Xenopus tropicalis: one gene and its partners. The protein of the gene in region 7 interacts with the protein of the main gene of each other region in a pairwise test. Links are inferred from orthologs where the notes say so. Each region holds a gene or a part of one and is shown on either strand. Other genes may lie near its edges. The genes, in order: trim23, exosc8, bend3, ssx2ip, hmmr, ranbp3 and morn4.

What was found.
Region 1: the proteins of morn4 (region 7) and trim23 interact in binary tests that used the Homo sapiens proteins (3 or more experiments, as listed by UniProt). The two-hybrid records come from large-scale screens. The link is inferred for Xenopus tropicalis from reciprocal best matches to the Homo sapiens genes MORN4 and TRIM23.
Region 2: the proteins of morn4 (region 7) and exosc8 interact in binary tests that used the Homo sapiens proteins (3 or more experiments, as listed by UniProt). The two-hybrid records come from large-scale screens. The link is inferred for Xenopus tropicalis from reciprocal best matches to the Homo sapiens genes MORN4 and EXOSC8.
Region 3: the proteins of morn4 (region 7) and bend3 interact in binary tests that used the Homo sapiens proteins (3 or more experiments, as listed by UniProt). The two-hybrid records come from large-scale screens. The link is inferred for Xenopus tropicalis from reciprocal best matches to the Homo sapiens genes MORN4 and BEND3.
Region 4: the proteins of morn4 (region 7) and ssx2ip interact in binary tests that used the Homo sapiens proteins (3 or more experiments, as listed by UniProt). The two-hybrid records come from large-scale screens. The link is inferred for Xenopus tropicalis from reciprocal best matches to the Homo sapiens genes MORN4 and SSX2IP.
Region 5: the proteins of morn4 (region 7) and hmmr interact in binary tests that used the Homo sapiens proteins (3 or more experiments, as listed by UniProt). The two-hybrid records come from large-scale screens. The link is inferred for Xenopus tropicalis from reciprocal best matches to the Homo sapiens genes MORN4 and HMMR.
Region 6: the proteins of morn4 (region 7) and ranbp3 interact in a two-hybrid assay, tested with the Homo sapiens proteins (2 studies listed by BioGRID). The two-hybrid records come from large-scale screens. The link is inferred for Xenopus tropicalis from reciprocal best matches to the Homo sapiens genes MORN4 and RANBP3.

What each region holds. Positions count from the first base shown.
Region 1 is NC_030677.2:187,798,319-187,801,294, forward strand, and holds part of trim23 (E3 ubiquitin-protein ligase TRIM23), read left to right. Parts: intron 1-1,588; coding exon 1,589-1,713; intron 1,714-2,115; coding exon 2,116-2,295; 3' UTR 2,296-2,976.
Region 2 is NC_030678.2:151,678,664-151,682,163, reverse strand, and holds part of exosc8 (exosome complex component RRP43), read left to right. Parts: intron 1-168; coding exon 169-274; intron 275-992; coding exon 993-1,038; intron 1,039-2,010; coding exon 2,011-2,107; intron 2,108-3,500. UniProt on the Homo sapiens protein: Non-catalytic component of the RNA exosome complex which has 3'->5' exoribonuclease activity and participates in a multitude of cellular RNA processing and degradation events.
Region 3 is NC_030681.2:79,023,987-79,028,024, forward strand, and holds the start of bend3 (BEN domain-containing protein 3), read left to right. Parts: upstream 1-1,238; 5' UTR 1,239-1,415; intron 1,416-4,038. UniProt on the Homo sapiens protein: Transcriptional repressor which associates with the NoRC (nucleolar remodeling complex) complex and plays a key role in repressing rDNA transcription.
Region 4 is NC_030680.2:77,489,901-77,494,028, reverse strand, and holds the start of ssx2ip (afadin- and alpha-actinin-binding protein), read right to left. Parts: upstream 2,801-4,128; 5' UTR 2,642-2,800; intron 1-2,641. UniProt on the Homo sapiens protein: Belongs to an adhesion system, which plays a role in the organization of homotypic, interneuronal and heterotypic cell-cell adherens junctions (AJs).
Region 5 is NC_030679.2:25,070,368-25,074,584, forward strand, and holds the start of hmmr (hyaluronan mediated motility receptor), read left to right. Parts: upstream 1-1,417; 5' UTR 1,418-1,552; coding exon 1,553-1,598; intron 1,599-3,089; coding exon 3,090-3,188; intron 3,189-3,969; coding exon 3,970-4,052; intron 4,053-4,217. UniProt on the Homo sapiens protein: Receptor for hyaluronic acid (HA). Involved in cell motility. When hyaluronan binds to HMMR, the phosphorylation of a number of proteins, including PTK2/FAK1 occurs.
Region 6 is NC_030677.2:101,763,115-101,766,614, reverse strand, and holds part of ranbp3 (ran-binding protein 3), read left to right. Parts: intron 1-333; coding exon 334-453; intron 454-1,408; coding exon 1,409-1,512; intron 1,513-2,617; coding exon 2,618-2,696; intron 2,697-3,500. UniProt on the Homo sapiens protein: Acts as a cofactor for XPO1/CRM1-mediated nuclear export, perhaps as export complex scaffolding protein. Bound to XPO1/CRM1, stabilizes the XPO1/CRM1-cargo interaction. In the absence of Ran-bound GTP prevents binding of XPO1/CRM1 to the nuclear pore complex.
Region 7 is NC_030683.2:33,184,897-33,188,396, forward strand, and holds part of morn4 (MORN repeat-containing protein 4), read right to left. Parts: intron 958-3,500; coding exon 848-957; intron 1-847. UniProt on the Homo sapiens protein: Plays a role in promoting axonal degeneration following neuronal injury by toxic insult or trauma.

The DNA of each region.
Region 1 (2,976 bases), on a different chromosome or scaffold from region 7:
GATTAGTGTTTGCTGCATTCACTGTTCATCTTCCTGTACATTATTCCAAACCTATAGGGATGAGTAAGATCATTTAAAGCGGTTGTTTGCCTTTGAGTAAACTTTTAATATGATGTATGAGAGTAATATTCTGAGGCAATTTGCAATTGGTCACATTTTTCATTTCTTGTAGTTTATGAATATTCTAGATTTTCGTTCAGCAGCTCTCCAGAATTTCCACAGTTATCTGGTTGCTAGGGTTCAAATTACCTTAACAAATAGGGAGTGGTTTGAATGAAAGAGTAATATATTTGTAGGAGAGGACCTAAACAGAAAGGTAAGTAATACAAAGTAAAAACAGCAATGATAAAATTCTAGCCCCAAAGAGCAATAGTTTTTTTTCAAAGTTGGAAAGAGTTAGAGAAATAAGGCAAAGAAGGCACATCATTGAAAAACTATTGAAATAATGAATAATGAAGACCAATTTAAAAGTTGCTTAGAATTGACTGTTCTATAACTAAAGGTTAACTTAAAGGTGAACTGCCCCTTTAATACATTTGGGGCAGTGCACATCAGTGGCAAATGTAGTGGAACACGTTTATGGGTATGAGGCCTAGTTTCCATTGTAAGTTACGGTTGCCTTAGTTATATTTAATTTTTTTATGTATTGACAAAGGCACATGTACTGATACAGGCTCTGCCATCTAGTATCCCTGAATCAGTGAAGGCAAAACCAAACTGGATCATTATGGCTGGTTTTAGGGTTAACACAGCAGGGCTGACACAGCAGGAATAGGGAATAATTATAAGTGGGTAACTATTTGTGGCATGTACATCAGGGATGTCTGAACATTGTTGTTAAAGGCCAGTTTTGTCACGCATGGCTGGTAAAGGAGTAGTTCTCAAACGGAGGGGCTTCAGATTAGTCCTCTTTTTACACATTGAGGCACCGGTATTGCCCTGAGGATCCCTTTACTCTTCCCCTGAGTAGCATTTCCATGTAGGCATACATATAAATAACCCTGTATTTAGTTCTTGAGATTTAAAGGAGAAGGAAAGGTAAAAACTAAGTAAGCTTTATCAGAAAGGTCTATGTAAATACAGCCATAAGCACTCGCAGAAAAGCTGCATTGAGACCTTTATAAAAAAAAAAACAGGATTTATTTTCTTCTTTCATGTACATATTTTCTTCGGGTATCAGACTTCATTTGCTTAAAATAATCCTTCAGGGCACGGCCTGAGTCTGCTCAGTTTGCTCCTCTCTCTCCCTCCCTTCTCCTCCTCCACCTCCCAACTTTCCTCTCTACCCCTCCCAACTGTGCTGTGTAATCTGCACTACCAACAGCTAGAGCTGCAGCACGGAAGTTGCTGAGACCAAGCTAAAATGGCAGCTGCTATCTTGAACAAATAGAGAAAGCTTCTAGGGCTGTTTATTTAGGTATGGTAAAGCTTTCTGCAGAATAAATATAGCGTTCTAGCTAGCACTTTTGTGGCTAATCTATTGGCAATAAAAGGACAAAATGCCTTCCCTTCTCCTTTTAAGCCTGTGTTTGTTCATAAGATCATGACTCTCCAATCCTCATGCTCTCTGTCTGTGTCCCCTGTGCAGCCGTGGTGTTTGTAATCGATAGCAGTCACCGGGAGAGAGTCACTGAAGCACACAGTGAACTTTCAAAGCTGCTTACTGAGAAGGAACTGCGAGATGCTCTGCTGCTAATATTTGCCAATAAACAGGTAACTAAATGAGATGGAAAAAGTAAAAGTAACATTAGCAGGCCACAGCCTTCAAGCGGTTACACTCCCAGCATAAAAGTTACATAAAAGTCAGTGGCGGACAGGGCTGCATCGATTCCTCAATTTCTCCAAGTGATTTGCTTATGAGCCCAACACCAAAATTAAGGCTCATTTACTCTTCTACCAGAGCATGCTTGGCACTCCTTAATCCTGCCGTGCAATGTGCTTAACCAATCAAAGAGCAGTTTTACAATATTGCTATAAATCAGGCTAAGGATAAATAAAAACCACACAATTTTTAATATAGTATAGTTTTAAATGTATTCTTCTGCATGCAGGGTGTGCATTAGCATTTTGTGATTTGCACATTAAATGAACTGTTCTGTCTGATTCTCTACACAGGATGTAACAGGTGCCCTCTCAGTGGAAGAAATGACTGAGCTCCTGAGTCTTCACAAACTGTGCTGTGGCCGCAGCTGGTACATCCAGGGCTGTGATGCCAGGAGTGGTATGGGGCTCTATGATGGTCTTGACTGGCTCTCAAGGCAACTGGTGGCAGCCGGTGTGCTTGATGTTGCCTAACTGAAGCCAGGGGCAAGTAATCTATGTGTGAGCAGCTGTTGCTAACACTACAGTGGCCTGTCTGAGAATAGCCTAAAACATGTCTAACCAGCCCGTGGCGCTGTGATTGTTGGCCTGCTGGGAGCCCCACAGGTTGGTTAAGGCTAGTTTGAAAACATAACTGTATTGACAGCTAGAAAACATATCTCTTTACGTCACTTTACTATAGCTAGTGCAAAAACTCCCCGGAATTAGTAGTTTTTGTGATGCCTGACTGTGAAGGTTGGAAATACAACTAATTAGCTAGGTAAGAAATTGTTGCTCTTATTTAATATGTTTAACAGTCTAATGTTTACACTACAGTAACAGTATTAAACAAAACGACACATTAAAGCCTTTCCCACCATAGCCGTGGAATTGTTACATCTTAGGTTACATTTAACCCACTAACCACCGCTGCAGCGCAGCTTGGCAATGAATGGGTTAAAGGTGGCCCATGACCAGTCCAAATAAGCTGCGTGTGTGTGCAGGACATTTCCATCCATGCCTCCAGCTGTATTAGTATGTGTTTAAGAGGCAGTTTCAGTGTAAGTGGTGTAGCAGTGAATTAACGTTAGCTTGTGGCTTAAGCAATCGGGAGCGTAGCTTACGAGGTGCATTAAAACCATAAACAGTAGTTGAGCGGCTTTATTTTCTTTTTGC
Region 2 (3,500 bases), on a different chromosome or scaffold from region 7:
GACTGGGGGTGATAGGGAAGTTTGTGGCAGCCTTTACAGAGATGTCATAGAGCTATACCAGTATAAGTATTGTCCTGTATTAAGCACAGTTATTCTGCAGCTTATAGTTATCTTTTAAGGGAATTTTTCTTTTGTGCTGACAGAGATATCTCTTTTTTCCATTTCCAGTTCCAAATGTGGATCTTACACCCTTGTGCTCCTCTCAGTTTCGGCCTGGTCCCCCAGGGGAAGAGGCTCAAGTTGCCAGTCAGTTCATAGCAGATGTTATTGACAAGTAAGATGATGGTTGTTTGTGAACAAAGTGATGATCATGTTCCTGTGTCACTAAATAATAATATAAAAAACCATTAGTAACCCCCAGCCCTGCAATAACCACTTTGGCATCTTCTGTGCAGACTGTCATCCTCAGTCATACTGGGCTAAGGGCAGCACAGTGCCCCAACTGGGTGGGGTACAGATTTAAATTGTACTCTGTCAGATAATTGGGCTGCCCCCAGCCCAGTGTGACCTATGGATCTAAACCTAAACAATGAGGGTATAGGGGTATAAGAGCCCACAATTGCTTTTGTTGGGGGTTCTTATTTTACTAACTCAATTGTATAATTGAAATTTGTCAGTATCAGTATTATAGGATGTGTCATAATTAGTCTTACTGAAGATATAAACTTTTCCCACGTCAGGTTGTAGCCTGACTTATTCGTGACTTATGGTAGATATATCAATAAGGAAAGTCTCCGACATGAATCACAGGCACCAGAGAAAACCTGTGGAAAAAGGCTCTGCAAGGGCCACATGGCTAGATCACCCCTCTTTTTATTTACCACTTGGGTGGCCAATTGGCCAAAGATTTGTTCATTTGGTGACCCACCAAACAAGAGTATTGAGTGTATATTGCCTGTTGTAGCTGGTTTTCATTATTAATACAAGCAATACTGAAACAGGAAAAACAAGAGATGAAACAATTGTCCATGTAATCTTTAACATGTGTTCAGTTCCCAGATGCTCCTGAAAGAAGACTTGTGCATCGCACATGGCAAGGTATGGATCAAGTGATACAAACAGGCGTTTGGTTTTTAATAGTTATTGAATGTATTTTGGTGATGCTTGCAGGGGCAAACGGCCATTGCATTATTACATATCTGTATGGGAATGGATGCCCCAAATCAGGATGCAGGATTTGGATTCAGCCAAATTCTAGGTGTTCAGCTGTTCCGAAACACTTAGAGAAAGTCACAATTAATGCACTGTTGTTATTTTTCTTAAATACGCATAGGCAAATTAGATGGATTTGGTTTGGTATTCAGCTGATTCTTGTTTGGAGAATGCGGTATTTGTCGAAATCCAGAAATTGTGGATTTGGTACAGTCCTAATCTTAATCAGGGTTGGACTGGGCAGCCGGGACACCGGGAAAAAACCACTGACGCATTTCACTTAGGCATGCTCAGGGGAGGACGTTAGGGGCCCCTGCGGCGGGGGGGGGGGGGGGGTTAGGGTGCGTGGCAGGAGATGTGGCCAGCGGGGGCCCTGCACTCACCAGTTTCCATAGAAACTCTGCTCTAGCTGTACATTCTGCTGGAGAAACACGCAGAATTGTTTTTTAAGTTCTGCCTGTGTAAGCCTGCATTTTTGATTTTATGAACTTTGCAGCACACATGCTGTTTACAGATATAAATGTCACTGATGATTTGCCAGAGGGAAAATTGCAGCTGGGTGAAAGCTGCTATTTGTTTTAGGAAAATTGATGGTGCTGGCAAACAGAGGGATATATGTAATACAAATGATGCGGTGTGGGTGGGGGAGTTGTGTCCAACTTATATACATGGTAGGAAAATGTAGGGTTTACATGTAAGGTAAAATTTATAAAGGGCATTATATACTGATATGTATATGCCAATTTAGTTTAATTTTTTGAAAGGTGACCTAGTGGACTATAAATGAGCTATTGGTTATACTTTAATATTAAATGTATAGTTCCCCTTTGACTTATTTTTGTTCTTTCCCCTCTCTAGCTAGCATGGGTTCTGTACTGTGATCTCATATGTCTCGATTACGATGGAAACCTTCTTGATACTTGCATGTGTGCTTTGGTTGCTGCTTTACAGAATGGTAAGTCATTGTTCAGTGAAACAGTCTTTGAGGGTACAGGGTAAGAATGAAGTGCTGTACAGCTGTTGCAAGTCCTGTTGCCACTAAACCTCAGTGGGAATCACTTGTTTATTATTATGTCTGAGATTCATGTTAATACCAAATATACCCCCAGAGCAGACTGGCTCAGTTTGACGTTTTTGCATTGCTTATGCAATCCATTCCATTATCTAGGTCTGGCTGTCCAAAACCTCCCTATTGAACTTTTCCAGTTAGCGGTTGTTGCAAATTATAAGGTTTGTCTGTCATATAACCTGGTGCTACAGGGCTGATTATTAAATTATAAGGAAGTTACATGTTCAGTGTATCAGCAGAAAAAAAAATGGCATTTTATGAGACACAGATCTTCCCTGCTAAAGGGCTGGGGTTGCCTTGGGCTGGTACAAACCCCCAAACATAATGTACAACATTTTTACCCTACTTCTATGTTAAGCTTTAGTTTACCTTTAAAGTAGAACTAAACCATAAAAATGAATATAGCTAGAAATGCCAAATTATATGTATTGAACTTATTGCACCAGCCTAAAGGTTCAGCATCTCTATAATGATCCCTTTAAAGTTATGCACAGAAGCTCCTACATCTTTGATTTTGTTAGAAGTGTCAGTGACACTGCACATGCTCAGTGTGCTCTGAGCAGCTAAATTATCAAGCAGAAAATGAGGTTTGTCTGTAATATAAGCTGATGGTAATTGCACTAGTTTCTGAGATGACATACTAATAATTTTTATTGTATACTAATCAGTCTTATATTGTTATACTTATATTCAGCAGTGGCCCCCCTTCTCAAAAGAAAAAAAATGTGGGGGGGCGGGGGCCCGGCATGCTCTTGTGGTCCTGCATAAATATTTAAATGAGTGGCTGGGGGTGGGATCTCTAGGCTACAGACAAAGCAAACCCTGTGGTCATGTCCCCCTTGAGGTCTGCTTCCTTTATAGTTCAGCCGCAGTTTATATTCTATATATACAGTATAGTGTGAGTGGGTCCCTAAGCTCAGGTAAGTGACAGCAGCACAGAGCATGTGCTGGGAATCAGCAGAAAAGAAGATGGGGGCTACTGGGGGCACAGATCTTCCCTGCTAAAGGGCTGTGGCTGTCTTTGGCTCATACAAAATATAATATACAATGTTTCTCCCTTCCTCCTTTAGATAAAAGTTAGTTCTCCTTTAATGTGGTGAACTGTGTATTTACTACAAGCTACATATGTTGTGGTGCTAAATATTGCACATTAATGTAAGGGCACATCCTAAAGTGAAATCAAAAGTGTCCTTTCCTAGACCAGGCCATTCTGGTGGGAGTGGATAGGGAAAAAAACATGAGGCAAAATGATCAAACAGCGAAGCTTGAACTCGCCACA
Region 3 (4,038 bases), on a different chromosome or scaffold from region 7:
TACACCAGCAGTGAATCCACTAAAGCTGTCCATACACACACCAATAATATTGTACAAAACCTTGTTTTGTGCTATATTCGGTGCGTGTATAACGGCTCGACGAGGCGACCAATATCACAAAAGGCTGCGGATATTGGTCGACTTGTCGATCGGCCGGGTTATAAGATTTTGAATGTGGCGCCCAAACAAAATCTACGTTCAGGGCTGAATCGGCAGAAGGAGGTAGAATTCCTATTGTTTCTATCTCCATATCTGAAGATTCAGCCCTAAATGTCAGTGGAGGGTGGGAACGATCTTTCAAAATTGCTACATGTATGGCCACCTTAAGTCTCACATTAGCTTTAGGTCAGTCTGTGTAAAGGTCCCCGTACACGGGCCGACTATAGCTGCTGATATCGGTCCCTTGGACCGATTCGGCAGCTAATCGGCCCATGTATGGGCAGAACAGAGCGGCCTGGCCGACCGATATCTGGCCTGAAATCGGGCAGATCTCGATCGGCCAGGTTAGAAAATCCGGTCGGATCGGGGACCGCATTGACTCACTGATGCGGTCCGCGAACCGACTGCCCCATAAGCTCAAATGTAATCCGATCGTTTGGCCCCAGGGCCAAACGAATGGATTATTTTTTTTTTAAGTTACTTGCTACCCGATATTGCCCACCCGTAGGTGGGGATATCGGGTGAAGATCCGCTCGCTTGGCGACATCGCCAAGCAAGCGGATCTTATAGTGTATGGGCACCTTAAGACCCATCTTTAGCCTCCCCAAACAAAAAAGTCACCCTCCTATATCCAGGCTGAAGTTGTTGGGCAACCCTAGTCACTCGCTTCCTATCTTGATGCTGAATGAGGCCATCTTTTTCTGGCTGCCCACTTTCCAGTCAGCAAGAGCAGTGAGTGAATATTTGGCGATCTTGCTAGAGATAATGGCGTGGCGGGGACTAGCCACAGTGACTGACTGAAATGGCTGTGGAAGTGTGAATAATAGCAGCAGCATTTCGGCCAACAAAGCTTAGGAAAGCAGCTCCACAGCAGCTGGAGGATAACTGTAGCTGAAGAGAAAGTTTGTGAGAGTGCAGGTAGCGGCACAGCAGGGTCCGTACCGGGAGCCCAGGGGAGCCGGTGTCCTTGCTCAGTGGAGAGAGGGCAGGGGGGCTGTTCCCACTGCAGCCTGTGTCTCCCTGTGTCCTTCTGCGGAAATGACACACACGGAGTCCCGTCACGTCACGCGAGAGCGCACGGACACGCAGCACACAAAGACACACAGGCTCTTCGTGGGGGAGAGGGGAAAACACGGCCCGGTGCTGAAGATGAAGCCGGCAGCGGAGGGATATTAGTTGCGTGGCCGCCGCGCCGCTTGGAAACTTTGTTGCAGCTGTAGTGGGGCTCCGGCATTGGGATCCCGACTTTCTCTCGGGTAAGTTCCCTCCCTCGGTGCCTGCGCGCTCCCGGCTACCCATTCTACACTCGCCTCTCAAACCCTCCGCATTCCCACGGCTTGCTTTGTCTCTTTAAGGGCTACTGGGCAAAGTATCTAGCCGACTAAGCAGTGTAACGCGATTGGTAGGTAGGGCAACTGCTTGGTTTCAAGGTCCTGCTCATCTAATCTGTGGGACCTTCACAAACTAGCAGAACAGCTTTCCACTTCCCACTTCCCCACTTCCCTGGCAGCCTCAGTGGGCCTTTAGAAGTAAGAAAGTGTGGGCATGACTTTCATTCAGCCTCCCAGTGTAGTGGGACAGCTAAGCCCTAGTTCTGTGCTATGGCCTGGGACAAGTGCCTGGATATTATTATGCTTTAATATATTTTGCAGGGGTTCCTTATTCACATCAGTTGCTTTTCCAGTATAGCTTACAGTTAGGAACACACCAAAGCAATTCATTCAGAATTCAGTGAAATCCTTGCACTTTTTGCTGGGCTTTGAAGTGGACAAAAAGCATCAGTCTGAACTAAATCAGAACACTTAGAAGCCCATTTATCAACAGTCTGATTTTCACAGTTTTGGAGGTTTTTGAAACCATGAATAAAGTAATTTCCACTAATGTTCAGTCACTTACATTACATTACATTAACATTTATTTATAAAGCGCCAACATATTCCGCAGCGCTGTACAATAAGTGGGTTACATACATTGGACATACAGAGTAACATATAAAGCAATCAATAACCGATACAAGAGGTGAAGAGAGCCCTGCCCAAAAGAGCTTAAAAGATCCAACTGAAAAAGTTCAAACTATATAAAATACAGAATGAAAACAAAATGAACATACAAACGACAAGTTGTTCCACAAATGTTTGTGACTTATAAACCAAAAAAAAAACCTCTAAAGACACAAATTAAAGATTTACAGTTTGCCCAGGACAACTCCCGTTGACTTTTAAATGACCTCGGCAGCTTTTAGATGGCAAAGTTTTGTAGTAAGTGGTCTTTGTGGTTTTTACACTTAACAATTCACAAAAAAAATTGTTGTTTTTTTTTTACACAAAAAAACACTAATCATGAAAAAAATAAAATATGAACGTTAATAAATGCCCCCCCTTAAGTCATATGCTTGTTTGCAGTCAATGTAATTTAAACATTTTCTTTGCAAATTTGGAAATGCAATTCTGATTCTGATTTGGTATTCGTCCAAATCTTTTGTGGATGATTTGGTATTTGGGCCAAATCCAAAAACGATGGATCAGAACATTCATACCTACAGTCTAAAGTCCAAACCTTGCACCCACAGAGTAAAAAGTCTCTTTTACCAGGAGCCGCTGCCAACAGTATGTTATTGGGGTGCGGGAGAAACTATACAGATACCTTTTTTATCTATTCTATGGTGAAACCACACTTTCATTATTTCTGATATTTTTAGCCTTTGCATAACACTAGCATAGTCAGTAGTAAACTGCCCCATGTTACATTGTCCTATCTTTTCTACCCTAGACAGACACACACTTGCTCTCACACACTATGGTCTGTATAATCAACACCCAACTAAGCCTATCTGTATGTTTGCTGTTTGTGGGCAGAAAGTAGAGTACCCAAAAGGAACCAGTACATGGGAAAAGCTTCCAAACTCTGTCAGGGTCAGAATAACGAAACATAGGACACTAGCACTGAAAGGCATCAGTTTTCTTTTTGTCTTGGGGGGCTAAGAACCTTTGCTGAAAGTGTCCCTGTGCAAAGGCATATTATACACTTCTGTGAAGTTCTTTACTTTATTAAGTTTTTAACTGGTGTAATATGATTGGTGTAAAATTGCTGAAGCTTACATTTATAGTTAAAGGAGAAGTAAAGGTACAATCACTGGGGGGTGCCAAAATGTTAGGCGCCCCTCAATGATTGTAATTGCTTACTTGATACCCCAGGCTGGTGCTCCTGTTAGGAGAAAACCGCACTAGCTGCGAACGAGCGATCCTCTTCCTTCTCTCATCTATCTTCTGAATCCCGGGGCTGGCACATGTGCAGTAGAGTGAAAAAGCTGAGTGTTTTGTTAAAGTTCAGCTTTTCACTCTACTGCTCATGCGCAGGCGGTGCAAAGACTGCAAAAAGAAAGATGATTGCTCTATTTCAGCTACCCCTTGCTGGTGCTGTTTTCTTCTAACAGAAGCACCAGCCTTGGGAATAAGGTAAGCGATTGCAATCGCTGGGGGGGTGCCTAACATTTTGGCACCCCCCAGTGATTGTACCTTTCCTGTTCCTTTAAGGGAGATGTGCTGGAGCCACTAGTGCTTCTCTCCACTGTGTGTCAGAAATGGTATTTTAAGTCCATGTCTCAAGCAATTTTGTAGTTGAAAGGGCTTTATACAAACTTTAACAAAGTCCATGACGTTATGACAGTTTTCATTTGGCTTGGAAATTACAAAGGATTTAGGTCAAGGGCAGGCTTGATTATCATGGGGTTGGTTTTACCTAACATGATGATCATACATTGAGATAGCACAGCCATTAAACAGGAGGCAACTTGTACCTTGATTATTTTAGCAACACATGGAAAAAGATGGTTCTGTGGAAGCTTGGGACAGAATCTGGCCTGTTGGTGTACAAATATAT
Region 4 (4,128 bases), on a different chromosome or scaffold from region 7:
GGTAAAGAGTCCTTTCTACACCAAAGTACCAATCTGCAGAGCTTTCCTAAAGTTATTGGTTTTTATGACATTTCAGAAAATTGCCTAAAAATGTTGCAATTTGTCACATTTATCTCACACAATTTCTTGCGTACAAAGGCAAATCACCCCCAATAGGAACACCAGAGGCCTACTGAACAGTTTGATGCCCAATATGCATAGATATACCAAAGTCTGCGGTATGTACTGAACCCTAAATGAAAATAGCGCATAAGGATTTCTCGCCTGCCAGCTCAGCTTTTGCACACAGAGCCCCGTCAGTGTATTATGTGCAGTAACCCCCCCCTAACTATACAGTGACCCCCAGAAAACCATATATTTTTGGAAAGTACACATTCTGATGAATTCAAAATAGGTAAAGTTATTTTTGTACACCAAAGTTACACCTGGCAAAGCTACGCTAAAAACAGATCAGGAACACTTATATAGGGATAAAATGTGATAAAACCACAAAAATTGTGCAAATCAGTGAAACAACAAAATAAGTTACATGACAGTGTAATTAGTGGCCAGAATATCTGATCCAATAGTTACGCTGTCAAAATAAACAGTTTTTAGGTAAAAGAAAATAAAAACAAAGTGGTAATATGAAAAAAAAAAAAAAAAAAAAGCAAAACAAAAAAAAAACCAAAGTGTTTGTGTATACATGTGTGTACATGTGTAAAAGTTGTGTGATAGTGTGTAAGTGTGTATATGAGTGTAAATAAGTGTATAAAAGTGTGAAAAATGAAAAAAAATAAATAAAATAAAATAAAAAAATGCTAAAATGTGTGCTGTAAGTGTGTGTAAATGTATGTAAGTGTGTATAAATGTATGTAAATGTGTGTATAAGTGTGTAAAAGTGTGTAAATGCAATAAAAAAAAAAAGTCCTTACCTGTTCCTGAAGACCGATCGCCTCCTTCGTCATTTGGGCCGGCGCTGGGGGAGAGGGAGGAAGCAGGAAGCAGCAGATGCGATGCGATCGCATCTGCTGCTTCCTGGAGGGTCCTGCGAGCGATCGGTTCGCAGGACCCTGATGACAGCCCCCCTGGCACATTGCCCAGGGGGGCTGTCATTGTTAGAAGCCCTCTGCAGCGGCGGCACATGCCGCCGCTGCAGAGGGCAGCGCTTAAACGCCAACGACGTATGAGACACGTCGTTGGCGTTTAAGCCCTTTTACTGCCAGCACGTATGCCATACGTGCTTGGCAGTAAAAGAGTTAATAGGTTTTACGTAGACATGACATTAAATAACACTGCTGTGTTTACTATTTCAGTATCCGATGTTCAAAAGTTAAATCTAAAAGTAAAAAGGTTTTTACCTTTGTTTTTTTTTTTTTATTATTTTCTGCTAAATATCTTTATTAGCTAGTCTTTTAAAGTGCCCAAGTGCTGTCTAGCTCTCTGTATATAGTGCATATAATAAGGACTATCTGGATCAAATTCTGGTACACAGAAAGAGGTTGTCTAATTAGGGAGCTGATATTTTTATTGCAACATGGAGTACGTTATATTCATACTTTATCATGCATGCAGCACACAATGCATAACTTACATCACCATGCACCACAGCTTATAAAAAACGGGTTTCTGCTCAACTGAGTAAACGGCCCACAAACACTAACCTGCATATGGGTTAAAAGTGGTTGTTCACCTTTAAATAACTTTTAGTATGTTACAGAATGCCCTATTCTTAGCAGCCTTGCATTTGGTCTTTATTATTCATTTGTTATAGTTAAATATCTACCTTTTGCCCGTACATATTTCCGGCTTTGAAATGGGTGTCACTGACCCCAGGGGCCAAAAACTTTTGCTCTGTGAGGCAACAATTGTATTGTTATTGTTACTGTTTATTCCTTATCTTTATATTTAGTCCCTCTCCTATTCATATTCCAGTCTCTCATTCTAACCACTGCCTGGTTACAAAAGGTAAACAAGACCCTAGCAACCAGACTGCTGCTAAAATATCAAAAAAGGAAAGCTGCTGAAAAAGTGAAATAACTGAAAAAACACACAAGAAAGAATAAGTGAAAAGCAATTGCAAATTGTCTCAGAATACTATTAGTGAGAATGTGGACCCTTTAAGAAAGCAACAGAACATGAACTTTGAAAGCACTCCTTCTGTACTATATTAAATATCCTTCTGATCCCCATATATTTATTGCGAGACGAAATCAGATGATATTTATACACAGAGCCCAAGTTTACTGGAGTGCAAGTTTTGTATAGGGTACCACGCCCGCAGGCAACGTTTAAATGAATGGGCAATCGCCTAGCAGTTGGGAAAAACCAATGCGAACGTTCCCAGCAGCAAGTGACCCCCCTCCCCCGCCCCCATGGCGCAGGGAGTTGGAAGAATTACAGGCAAGCTGCTCTCGCTATTGCTAAGTCATTTACAAAGTCGATCTTTTGCCAACAATACAAAAAAAAAAATAATAAAGCATAAATAGGTACATAGCTTTCAGGCTAATAGAATACACGTAAATAAAACTAAAACTAAATGTTAAGGGAAAAAAAAGAAAGAAACCTCCACAGCAGGTGCAACCTTTTTGTTCAGATTTAACATATATTTGGGTATATCAGTAAATATACCATGAACCCCCTTTCAACAAACATAGCATACCGCCAAAAAGTCCAGCTTTTCCCGGGTCAGTCCCGCTTTTCTCAAAACAGCCCACAATCCTGTATCGCGGTTTAAAAGTCCCGCAGCGCTGTTAGCGTCTAGCTCCTTGACTCCTTCTGGACAGCGAACCCAGACATCGGAAATCTCATCTCGCGAGAGTGTGACTACAGGTATATAAGTACGGTGACGCTTTGCGTAGCCTCCTAGGGGCAGTGACGAGCTGTGGGTATGGGATTTGGTGCAGCACAAGGTGATGGACCTAGTGAGCAGTCTATCCTGGGCAGAGCAGTCTGTGGGATTCGCTCAGCATTTTCTTTGTATCTGTTTGCAGATTCTACCTTTGTCAGGGGATGTTTTATGTCAGCTGATGTCAGAAGCTCAGCTCTTAAGACAGTGATTGTTTTTACTACTGATTAACTTATACCTCTGCCATTGATCTTTTATTTCTAGGTGGGTGCAGGCAATAGCTGCATAGAAACTACGGTCTCCGCTCCTTATAGTAGTATACAAAAAGAGGTTGTGGGAGCACTCCAAGGCTAAATAAAGTATACAAATACAATGGAAGTGCAACTGATCTGGCCAAATTAACTACAAACATACAAAAAAATACTGTATGCACTAGCATGAAACTAACAGACAATTTACTTATGAAACGGGACCAGGGAATGTGCATTGATCAATCCTTTTTTTTTTTTGTATCCTTATAGTAGTATTTTTTTTTTTTTTTTTTTTAATTCTGCTCAAACTTTTCACCTATGCCAGGAAAAAGAGAAAAACTTGGTTATTGACTAAAGCCATGAATTTGTGAAAGTGCTACGTGTTGCTAATAGCATTTAATTCTGTTATTCACCTGGAAATTAACTTGCTAAGATGTTGAGAATGCTAATCTAAAGCAATTTGCAATTGGTATCATTTTTTTTATATGCAGTTTTTAAATTATTTAGGGTTTTTGTGAGGCGTCACTCCAGTTTGGAGTTTAGGCAGCTATCTGGTTGCTAGAGGTGCCAGAGAGGCATGAATAGAGGAGGGCCAGTTTGAAAGAAGAAGAAGGCAAGTAATAACTGCTTCTTTAAAGGAGAAGGAAGGGCAAAACCTATAAAGGATACCCTTCAATAGTCCTACTACTGTTAATTAAAAACGCTTTACTTTTGGCTCTATTAATGCAAGAATAACAGTTTTACTTACAGCAAACGTTAGCATTGCTTTAGTGAAAGGCACCGCCATCTTTGAAATGGGATGCCCACTTCCTTTCCTTCACCGCCCTATACTGTGCATGCGCATCATTCAATCCCCCCTGAGCGCTGTTCGGATAGCAACGCTATGTGCTCATAGTGGGAGTGTCAGAGAGTCCGTGGGAAGAGGAGCGCTCCTGCTTGTGCACGCTCACAGAAGATATGAAAGCGCATGCGCTTACTAAAGAGCTGGTCTTAATCTTGGTGCAGGAGCATTATGGGAATGGGATGGGAATCTTGGGAATCTTCTTTACC
Region 5 (4,217 bases), on a different chromosome or scaffold from region 7:
TCAGCCCAAAGGAACTAGGCCACGAAACAATTACCTGCCTGTTGATTTGCTTACTTTACTATCTGCATTGTGCAGGGCTGTCTCATTGGTGCCCCATGGACTGGATATAGCCCTCCAAGACATTATGTTTTATTGCCCCCTACATGCCCAAGAATTCCACAACCCTTTATAGTACTCTGCCCTATGCAAGGAAAAACTTGGACAGCACTGGTATAGTGTAACAAGGTGTGCTGTATACTCTGAATCTAAGAGATCACTACAAACCCAGATCTAGTCATTTGGTGTGACCCTCCTGCCCACCCTTCACATTGTACGCTGCCACTGCTGCAGCATTAACTGGTGTAGGACTAAACATTAAGAACAAAGTTTCTATTAGTCTAGTGCAGGGGTGCCCAGACTTTTTCCTGTGGTGATTGACTTGACTCCTCCCCGCATACGTACGCGCATACCCAATAAACCCCGCACTTCCGCATTTCGCGGCTTCGACGTGGTCCACTAGGAATCCATGGGGTATCGACCGGTGGAACGCGATCAACGTTTTGGCCTCCCCTGGTCTAGTGTGTGGGCTTTTGTGCGAAAATGATGTCAAATTTCTATTTATAAATTTGAAAGGTGTGATTTGTTCTGTAATGGGGTTACTGTCAGTTTTAGTTTTTTTTTTTTACTTAGATTATATTCCCTTTAATATTTAAATAGGCTGTTCACCATTATATTAGATTTTAGAATGGTGCCTAAAAAAGTCTTCACTTTTTAGTTATGCACAATCATGGAGTACTTTAGCAATCAAAATACAAGATGAAGAGTAGAGGGCCAGAAAAAATATACAAATGCAGTACAAATATATTAGTAAATACTAAGCCTGTATATCATATATCAGGGTATGATACATAAAAGTTACTGGGTTTTTTTTAATAATTTTTGCACATACATGGCATCAAAACCTACTGCACTTAAGACAATGGGACTGTAAAAAAATACTTCTAGCACCTTAAGTATGTCCTTTCCCTTCACAACCAGTGAAATATCCCGACTTCCCAATTTGCACTGGACTTCTTTGGCAAGGGTCCCATCGGGTACTTTGACTTCAATGAACACCTCTTCCATGGTCTGATACCAGCAACCCCATGGTGTTTGACAGGGGACCACCCCACTCCTCTCATCGAAGTGAGCAGACATTGCCTGAAACTGAAGCGCTTGGCAGCCTATGCCTCATACCAGAACCAAATATGGCCGCCGCATTCATGAGCAATGCATCGGTTTGCCAGAATTAAAAATGTCGCTAAGGGGTAAAATGAGCATGCGTAGAACAACTCCCACAATCCTTTTAGCGCGCCACGGCCTAGTTTTATTGGGTGGTCCCGAAAGCTGTATTCTGATTGGCTGCTTCGCCTGGAGCTTGTCGGGAGCTCGTTCCTTATTTGATGATAAAGCAGTGACTGAATTTTAAAGCAGCGAAAAGAAGGAATTTGTTATTTCGTGCATTGTTGCGTAGCTGTCAGTGATTTCGGCTCTGAGCAGTAGGGAAGGTGGTCGGGCGCTGGCTTCAGCCAAAATGTCTTTTCCCAAGGCTCCTCTGAAGAGATTTAATGAGAATATTGGTAAGTTTCAATCTAAGCGTGTATTTGGCAAGGTTGTTTCGCAGGAGTGTTCTGTGACTCATGTAAGTTCCGTTCGCTTCAATACGCGATATTCATGTACATTTAGTCTGACTGCAATTATTTTTAGACCATTAGATACTTAAACCATGGAGACCTATGGGCTTATGTAATAAAGGGCGCTAACTTTGCCCAGGAGCAGTAACCCATAGCAACTAACCCTTGAGGTTCTATAGGGACTGTTTTCATCTATATGCAGCTTTCCTTTGCTTTAGGAACCCCAGACAAATATTGGAAAGTAAAGGGGTGCTTGGAACCTAAACCATTAGAATTTTCCTTCTGTGAAGCTTGCAGGGTCAGAATTATCTTAAATTATACTGGGTTTAGGCTTTACAGATATGGGCATTTGCTTATAATATATGATTTTAAAATAAAGACCGCAGATGCAGGTGTATACCTATAAGTGGGGGTGCCAGGTTCTTAAAAGAAAGCAAGATAAGAGAATTAAAGTACTCACAAAATCATTCAAAATACAAATATGTACGTTCACTGAAACCCTCTCATGCAAAAATATTTCTCCAAAGTAATGTAGCCGAGTATATAATAGTCATATCCCAATTATTAACGGTCACTGTTTCAATTTCTCCTATATACCATTATAGCTAATGCTCAATGTTACCTTACATTATCTTGCATAGTGCTCCTGGTTAGGTTTATATTGTCTATAGCAGCATTTTGCTGTTATACAGCATTACTTTTGTTTAGTTTAATTGGTATATCAGTCGTTTGTACCTGTTTATTAGAAAAATTGCTTGTTTGGCTACCTCATGGCTGGCATGAAGGAAGTCAGAAGAAGGTATTTTTCAAAATACACTGCTGCTGCTTCAACCGTCAAATTTATTTCCAGCTGCAATTTTTTTTTTTTTTTTGCACATTCCTTAAATACTTGTAATACCATTGCTCACAGTGGTTTTCCACTTACTGCACTGACCTTTCTCATAAACCAGTTTATATCAATCAATATGAAGTCAACTTTGAATGTGTATCCTTGCCAAAAGCAATAAAGCTTTACCCATTTTGCTATAGCTGTTTTTGTGCTTGGCATTAGATCCACTGTCATATTTGTCAAACTGCGCTGACAAGTTGCACGGGCTGCTATAGCCCAGTAATTCCCAGCCCTGACAGACATATTGTCTCTGTAAATGGCTCCTTTTTATCTAGGTGTTCATGCTCTTTTTTAGTGTAGTCAACCAGGTGCTGGTTTAGTAGCCCAGTATTCAGTATGCTGCAACTACATGCAATTTGTTTGAAGTTTTTTTGTTAAAACTGTTTGATATAGTGATCCAGTTTATGTAGTTTGCCTTCCCTCTGTTGTTGTACTAAAGATAGATTGGGTAATGAAGCATTTAGGTCTGCTAAAAGTCTGTGCCCTTGTTTTACTATGTATGTCTCATATGTTTTCTATTTACCTATTATTATTCTATATATTTGAAGGATGTGCCCCTGCGCCTGGATCTTATGATGTGAAGAATTACGAGGGCCTCAAAGGACCTGTATCTTTTGATAAATCCCAGAGATTTCGTCCTAAAAAAGGTTTGTGCATATTTTAGACACTTTTCTTGAGTATTAAAGAGATACGATATCAACTTTCTAAGGAGGAAAAGCTATGCCGTTTCTTTTTGCAGAGCCTGCAAATCAGCCCTATACTACTAATGCACAATTTATTTTTATTTTACATAATGTTTTTGGGTGATGTTGCTGTAAACCTCTTGACTTAAAGCAAGCAGCAGTACAGTACCTGTAAGTTTACTAGTCTGCAGTCTAAGCACCATACAAGCCCCACCCTTGTTAACCTTTGCCATGTGTTTCTTCATGGGGGTTGTATAAACTATGGCTAAGCAGCACAGACCTTATGCAGTGGGTTCTTATATTCTTTGCATGCGCTAGAGCTCCTACAGCTGTGATCTGCTCCCGATTTAACAATTTCTTTTTGAATAACAATTTCTTTTAAAGGGAAATGTCCTATTCAAATACATGAACCAAAAAGTTTTACAGTAAACATTTGATTTCAGAAAGTAATATGTGGTTTTTGATCCAGTACAAATGAGACTATTGTTACATGGAGAAACCCCCACCACTGCCATCCATACTATATTCAAGAACCACTGACCAGCTAGGCATCTGCCTGTCATCGGGAGATCTTAGCCCAAAAATAGATGTCAACAAAAAAAAAAACACAATTTGTGACTTGGCATGTCAATAATGGGACAACTTCTATTAATTATCACTTTTTAAACTAAAATCAACCAAGAAACCCCCCACAATATGCTATTCTGCAACTTTTTTTTTTTTTTCTAAAATGTGATCTTTCTAGATTCCAGCAATGAAAGCCAACTCATGGATAAAGAAGAGGAATTATCTCCAGTTCGTCTACGAAAACATTCTCTTGGGTCTACTGTAAGTGTTTCATGTTCATGAGTTTTAAAATATGTTTGTTTTAAATCCACTACAACCTCTAAAAGTGAGACTAAAGTCTTATCTGGCATGCTATGTAATGAGGACTAACTTGTATTTTATTCTGATGCATTCTGACTATGCCATCTTTATCCCACTATCCTACTG
Region 6 (3,500 bases), on a different chromosome or scaffold from region 7:
CCTATTCGGGTCAGCAACCATTGGACTCAAAACTGGACACCATTATGAAGGTCGACAGATGGATTCATTTGTTTCAAGTTGTGGTGCTGTATAACATATAAGGATCTGTGTCAGTTCTGGATACCATGAGATTGCTCTTAAAGTGTGTTCTCTAAAGCAATATTTTTAGAGCATGTTCAGTAGTACATTAAACGTGTGGGTTTAAACATTTCCTCTAACCAGTTAATGAGAACTTTGAAGAAGATCAAAGAACTATCCTATATATTGTAAAAGGTTCATGCATAAAAGAAATATCACACTTTTTATACATAGACTTTTTTTTTTTTACTTCAGGACAGCAATGCACAGACAGAGTCTTGTATTGTAAAAGACTCCAGTGAAGACTCAGAACAGGGTGAGCAGAAGACACAACAGTCCTTCGTCTTTGGGCAGAACGTGCGTGACAGGGTAAAAGTAAGTCATATTATGTGTTATGACCTTCGGTGTAATTTTTAAACTTTTGCTTCAGATTTATTTATTTTTGGATCATGGATATTAAAGCTCAACATTTTATGATAAAATTGGTTGGATGTTTCAAGAGGTAGGTGGATAGAAAGATATGTAATATATATCACAAGTGATACCTTGTATTCCATACCAGTCAGGTATGATGGTCCCGCTGAAAGAATGAATGAGATCTTGACAAACAAATGATAAGTTAAGAACTTGTGGGACTTTTTAAACAATGAAAAACCCAATATATTTTATAAGTTGCAATCTGCCGGCTAGGTTTTTTTTTTTTTTTTTTTTTTTTTTTTTTTGTACCAAACCTTTGGTGTCTTGCTGATCTCCACTGCTGTAGCTTTTTATAGGGGTGGGTTTGAGTATGCTTTAAGCCACATGAAAACTAGTATTGTCATAGAGAATAACTGCAGGGAGCAGTGCTACCACCACATTTTGCAGGCTATTTGTGGTTGATTGGGGGATCGGTGCTTCTACCATGCAGTGGGTAGGTTGAAATTTCACATTTTGCATGCAGATTATAATTAAAGTAGGTTATGTAAGAAGTCTGGTTGCTCTTGGGCAGAATGGGGCCTTAGAAAATTCTTGAAGGGCACATCTGGCCCACTGACTTTTGGTTGGATAGCCCTGTGTTATATAACCTCTCTATAAATAAATGTGTGTGTATAAATCTTGGACCAAAGATATCTTTATTTTTGGCTTTTGTGTAAATTACTCCATTCAGTAAAGAGGAAAGGGATTACAATCTCATTTATTTTTCCTACATTGAATAACTTTTCACAAATAGTTGTTTGCAAAATGCAGTAATGCAATATCTAAAGTTATATTATGTGCCAAAAGATGTAAATATTATCTTATTTAATGGACACTTTGTTAGAATGACCACCTTGTTGTTAACTGTTTTCAGCTTGGAGTGCAAAGTAAAGATTCACCTGATGATGAGAAAGTGGGGTCCCAAGGTGTGGATGCCCCAGCACAGACCAATTACTTTCTACAGTACATCAGCTCAAGGTGAGGTATCCTTTACTTGTTCAGTGAGGTGGATCTTTACTTGACTTGCCTACCGATGCATTGGACCTAAATGGGAGGATGTAATCGTTTGAGCTAGGCTGATGAATAAATTATATTGGTGTCCATGGGAGTCTTATTGGAGAGGACTACATTAACACACCAATGCAGTTTCATATCTAGCAGATTTTTTTTATTTATTTATAAAATCTCCCTGATGGATATTTTGGTGAATTGGGACCCATACATGGGCCAGTACTTTGCCAGTTCAGTCTGTAATTGAGTCAGCAGCTTTTATCAGTTCAAGTATGGCCACCTTATGTTTCTTCAGTATTAAAATAGTTGAACCTATTTATATTTGTCAGAAACTTAGTTGTGTTTGCTGATCATCTGTCTGTAAAGAGTTTCTAATACTGCAGTGTAACCCAGCTACCAAATTCACTAAGTGTAACTGTTCCTGTGACATGTGAAAACTTACCCAAATCAAGAACTGCTTGTGGTTTATCTAAATGGAACTTTGTCTAAAGTTCCGGAAATTTTGCATGCTATAATTTTAACATAATGCAAAGAAATGGATACTGCTATGTGCACTATATATACTAACATACATGACACCTTAGAATCCATTTGCTGCATCGACTTGTTGATGCAGTCCTTGGTCCGATGCCGCCCGTGTCCAATGTTGTATTTTGATCGTTTGGCCCTTAGGTGGGCATATCGGGAGAAGATCTGCTTGTGTGGTGGCTGCACCAAACGAGCGGATCTTATGTATGGCCACCTTTTACTCTGTTTCATATCCTCTCACCTCACATACACACTGAATTTCAAACACAGAGTTTAAAACATGCATCTTTATTTCAAATTTATGTTTTGGGGACGGACCCCTTCATCAGACATGTGATGAAGGGGCCTGCCCCCGAAACATCACAAATTTAAAAAAAAAAAAAAAAACCCTAGGGATAATCCTGCTGCTCAAAGACCTGTTGTGCCGGCTGTTTTCTTCAATTGCCTTGTAAATTACAGCCCTCTAGAACCTGGTCTGTACATATTTTTATTCTTGTTAGCGCCATGTTGCTCTTAGGTTTAACTGGGGCTTTTTTCTTTGCAGTCTAGAGAACTCTACGCACAAATCTGAAGCAGCCAGCAACAAGTTTGTATTTGGACAGAATATGATTGAGCGAGTTCTGGTAAGGCTGAGAGAGAAACACTTTAATTGTATATATTTGCTTTTTGTTTTGTCTTTTTGTCATTGTTCACTCAAACATTTCTTAGGAATATATTTGCACTTAATGTTGTGTTAATTCATTTGCCTGCAGAGCACTGAGTTATTTTCTAGGCTTGGTGGAATAAAAAATGGAGGTTGTAGACACTGGAGCATTGGAAATGTGATAAATAGCTTTGCCATTTGGCAGTTTGAACCCTAGCTGATTGAATATGCAACACAATTCTAAAGTTTGAAGGAATATTAATGGTTTGGGCTATGGTCCCTGGTTTAATTGAAAAAAAGTGTATAGTGACAATTTTGCAATTTAATGCTGCTTAGTTTGTGGGAAGCTGCTTTCTTGTTTCAGTATTACAATTTCCCTGCAGAGTTTGTAAAATGACTACCCTGAAAAAAACCCTTGTGGCTTAATTGAAGCCATTTCTATCAGTAATCAGTGCAGATATTTTTTTTGGTCCCAAGTACCCTTAAGACCCTGATCTATTTGGGGCCTGATTATAAATCATAATGTCATACAAACATGTAATATAGTAAATAACCTGACACTGTATGAAAAGTTAGACAGTACTGATCTAGTGAAAAGTTTTCCTAGCAATAGCAAAGGGAGAGGACCAACTTCTTATTAACCATGGTCTCAAAAAGAGATCTTGACAGGTGTCTAATTTACCTTGGTTATCCTATTCTATAGGCTTTTATAGAATTATGCTTTTAATATAGCCACAGTTGGTTCTTGTAAGTACCATTATGGCAGAAGGCCACCATTTACTTC
Region 7 (3,500 bases):
GTGTTGTCTGAAGACTCCATGACCATAGCCATCCAATATTGGCGTTAAGCTTTGCGTACAGAAATTTCTCAGGATTTGTTGAATCTCTTGATAATATTATGTATGTAGATGATGAAATTCACAAATTCTTTGCAATATACTATTCTTAAACTGTTGCAATATTTGGCCATCCCCATCTTTACTTCTGAGAGACCCAGCCTCTCTGGTAAGCTTTTATTTAGTACTATACAACTGTATGTGTTATTGGCATCAAATTCAAAATGACATGTATTTTCCAGAAAACAATAAGATATCTCAGTTTCAACATTTGATGTTGACTTTGTACTCTTTGTAATTAAATATGGGGGTTTAAAAGATTTGCAGATCATTTCAATCACTTTTTTGAAAATGGGATTGTATCACATTTGTCTAAGATGAAAAAGTTATGCAACAAAAAATACACTTTTATCTAAAAAAAATAGCTGTAAATTTCACTTTTAAAGTTCTGAAAGTTCTGCAATTATTTGACATGAAAATATCACATATTTAATAGCTGAGATAAGTGAAAATAAAATTATTTTGTACATAAACTGACATTTTCACCATTTCCCTCTTCAGATATCAGACCCTTAAGTGCTGGTGTATGTCTGGATTTGCTGAGAAAGCTTTTTATGTCTATGAGAAATGCAAAGATCAAAAGCTACTGTTATATTTAAGCAAGAACTACGCCATTTTCCATGGTAATTATGTCACCAGAGGGCACTGTGATATTAGAGCCTTAAATATGTATTTTCCTACACTGGCTTCACATCATACAAATAAACAGAAGAATGCAGATGGATAGGATTGGCCAAAGATTTCTACTTACCATAACCTTCAACCCGACCCCCTTTAAATTCTCCCTCAAATTTCATGTTATCGTAGCGGGTGAAAACACCAGTGCCTTGAAATTTTCCTTGAACAAACTCCCCTTCGTACCTGAAAAGTGTACACATAAATATGTCAGTTCTAGAGTCTGAAACATAGAGCTGTAAGAATTACAACTTTTGCTACAAAAGCAGGAAGAAGATCGTTCCATGGTGATTGCTCAGAAGTACTTGGGGCCTGTGCAGTTTTCTGCTAACAGAAATGACAACCCCGGGGTATCATGTAAGGGTTATAATTACTTGGATGGTGCCTAACATTTGGCACCCCCACAGTGATTTAACCCTTCCGCCCTTTTATTTTCTTGCCCATTATATCATATACAGTCATGGCCAAAATTGTTGGCACCCCAGAAGTTTTTCCAGAAAATCAAGTATTTCTCACAGAAAAGTATTGCAGTAACACATGTTTTGCTATACACATGTTTATTCCCTTTGTGTGTATTGGAACAGAACAAAAAAGGGAGGAAAAAAAAAGCAAATTGAACATAATGTTACACAAAACTCCAAAAATGGGCCGGACAAAATTATTTGGCACCCTTTCAAAATTGTGGATAAATAAGATTGTTTCAAACATATGATGCTCCTTTAAAAATCACACCTGAAAGCAGATAAAAAGGAGAAAAGTTCACTTAGTCTTTGCATTGTGTGTCTGTGTGCGCCACACTAAGGGGCTGATTTACTAACCCACGAACGGGTCAAAATGAGTCCGATTGCGTTTTTTTCGTAAAGATCGGTATTTTGCGATTTTTTCGTATTTTTTGCGATTTTTTCGGCGTCTTTACGAATTTTTCGTTACCAATACGATTTTTGCGTAAAAACGCGAGTTTTTCGTAGCCATTACGAAAGTTGCGTAAAATCTTGCGATTTTTCGTAGCGTTAAAACTTGCGCGAAACTTCGCACCTTTTAAGTTTTAACGCTACGAAAAAGGCGCAACTTTTCGTGAAAAAAAAAGAAGTTTGCAACCCATGGCACTGTAGCTAATCTTCCTGGGCGTGGACAGAAGAGAAAAATTGATGAAAGGTTGCAACGCAGGATAGTCCGGATGGTGGATAAGCAGCCCCAAACAAGTTTCAAAGAAATTCAAGCTGTCCTGCAGGCTCAGGGGGCATCAGTGTCAGCGCAAACTATCCATCGACATTTAAATGAAATGAAATGCTATGGCAGGAGACCCAAGAGGACCCCACTGCTGACACAGAGACATAACAAAGCAAGACTACAGTTAGCCAAAATGTACTTGAGTAAGCCACAATCCTTCTGGGAAAACGTCTTATGGACAGATGAGACCAAGATAGAGCTATTTGGTAAAGAACATTCTACTGTTTACCGAAAACAGAATGAGGCCTACAAAGAAAAGAACACAGTACCTACAGTGAAATATGGTGGAGGTTCAATTATGTTTTGGGGCTGTTTTTCTGCCTCTGGCACTGGGTGCCTTGAATGTGTGCAAGGCATCATGAAATCCGAGGATTACCAAAGGATTTTGGGTCGCACTGTAGAGCCCAGTGTCAGAAATCTGGGTTTGCATCCGAGATCTTGGGTCTTCCAGCAGGACAATGACTCCAAACATACGTCAAAAAGCACCCAGAAATGGATGGCAACAAAGTGCTGGAGAGTTCTGAAGTGGCCAGCAATGAGTCCAGATCTAAATCCCATTGAACATCTGTGGAGAGATCTTAAATAAGAGAGACCTGGAGCAGTTTGCAAAGGAAGAGTGGTTGAAAATTCCTGGTGAGAGGTGTAAGAAGCTTATTGTTGGTTATAGGAAGCAACTGATTTCAGTTATTTTTTCCAACGGGTGTGCAACCAAATACTAAGTTAAGGGTGCCAATAATTTTGTCCAGCCCATTTTTGGAGTTTTGTGTAACATTATGTCCAATTTGCTTTTTTTCCTCCCTTTTTTTTTCTGTTCCAATACACACAAAAGAGAATAAATATGTGTATAGCAAAACATGTGTTACTGCAATACTTTTCTGTGAGAAATACTTGATTTTCTGGAAAAACTTCTGGGGTGCCAACAATTTGGGCCATGACTGTATACACCTTGGCTTAAGCAATTTTTAAGAGTTCTTTCTGTGTCAATAAGAACAAGTACCTTAAAGCTTGTATGTTTGTACTGGACATAACTACAGCAATGGGAACTAATATTGCTATTTTAGCTTGCTGACAGATGGATTTTCTTGCTTTGCTAACAATGAGTCACTTGTTTTAGCTGTCACTGAGGGAGACCATTCATTTTTCCTCTATATTTATCAGACAGAAATGACTACTTTTAGTTCATCTTGAGTTACAGAGAGAGGGACATTGGGTCTCATAACACCGGGCATGTGTGGGATAGGCTTTGTAAACACAGGTAACTACCAAACTACAATGACAATAAAGTGTAACTATTAGTCACTACAAGAGCTTCAGTGTCCCATGGTACTGATCATTCAATTATCCTGTCTAATGGAGTAAAGTAACTGCTGTCATCTATAATGAGAGCATTAGCTTTAAAGGGGAAGTTCACCTTTACATGAACTTTTAGTGTGTACATTAACCTATTCTTGTCACCTTCTATTCTGACCTTCATTAATTTGTTTGTATTTTTAAAATAT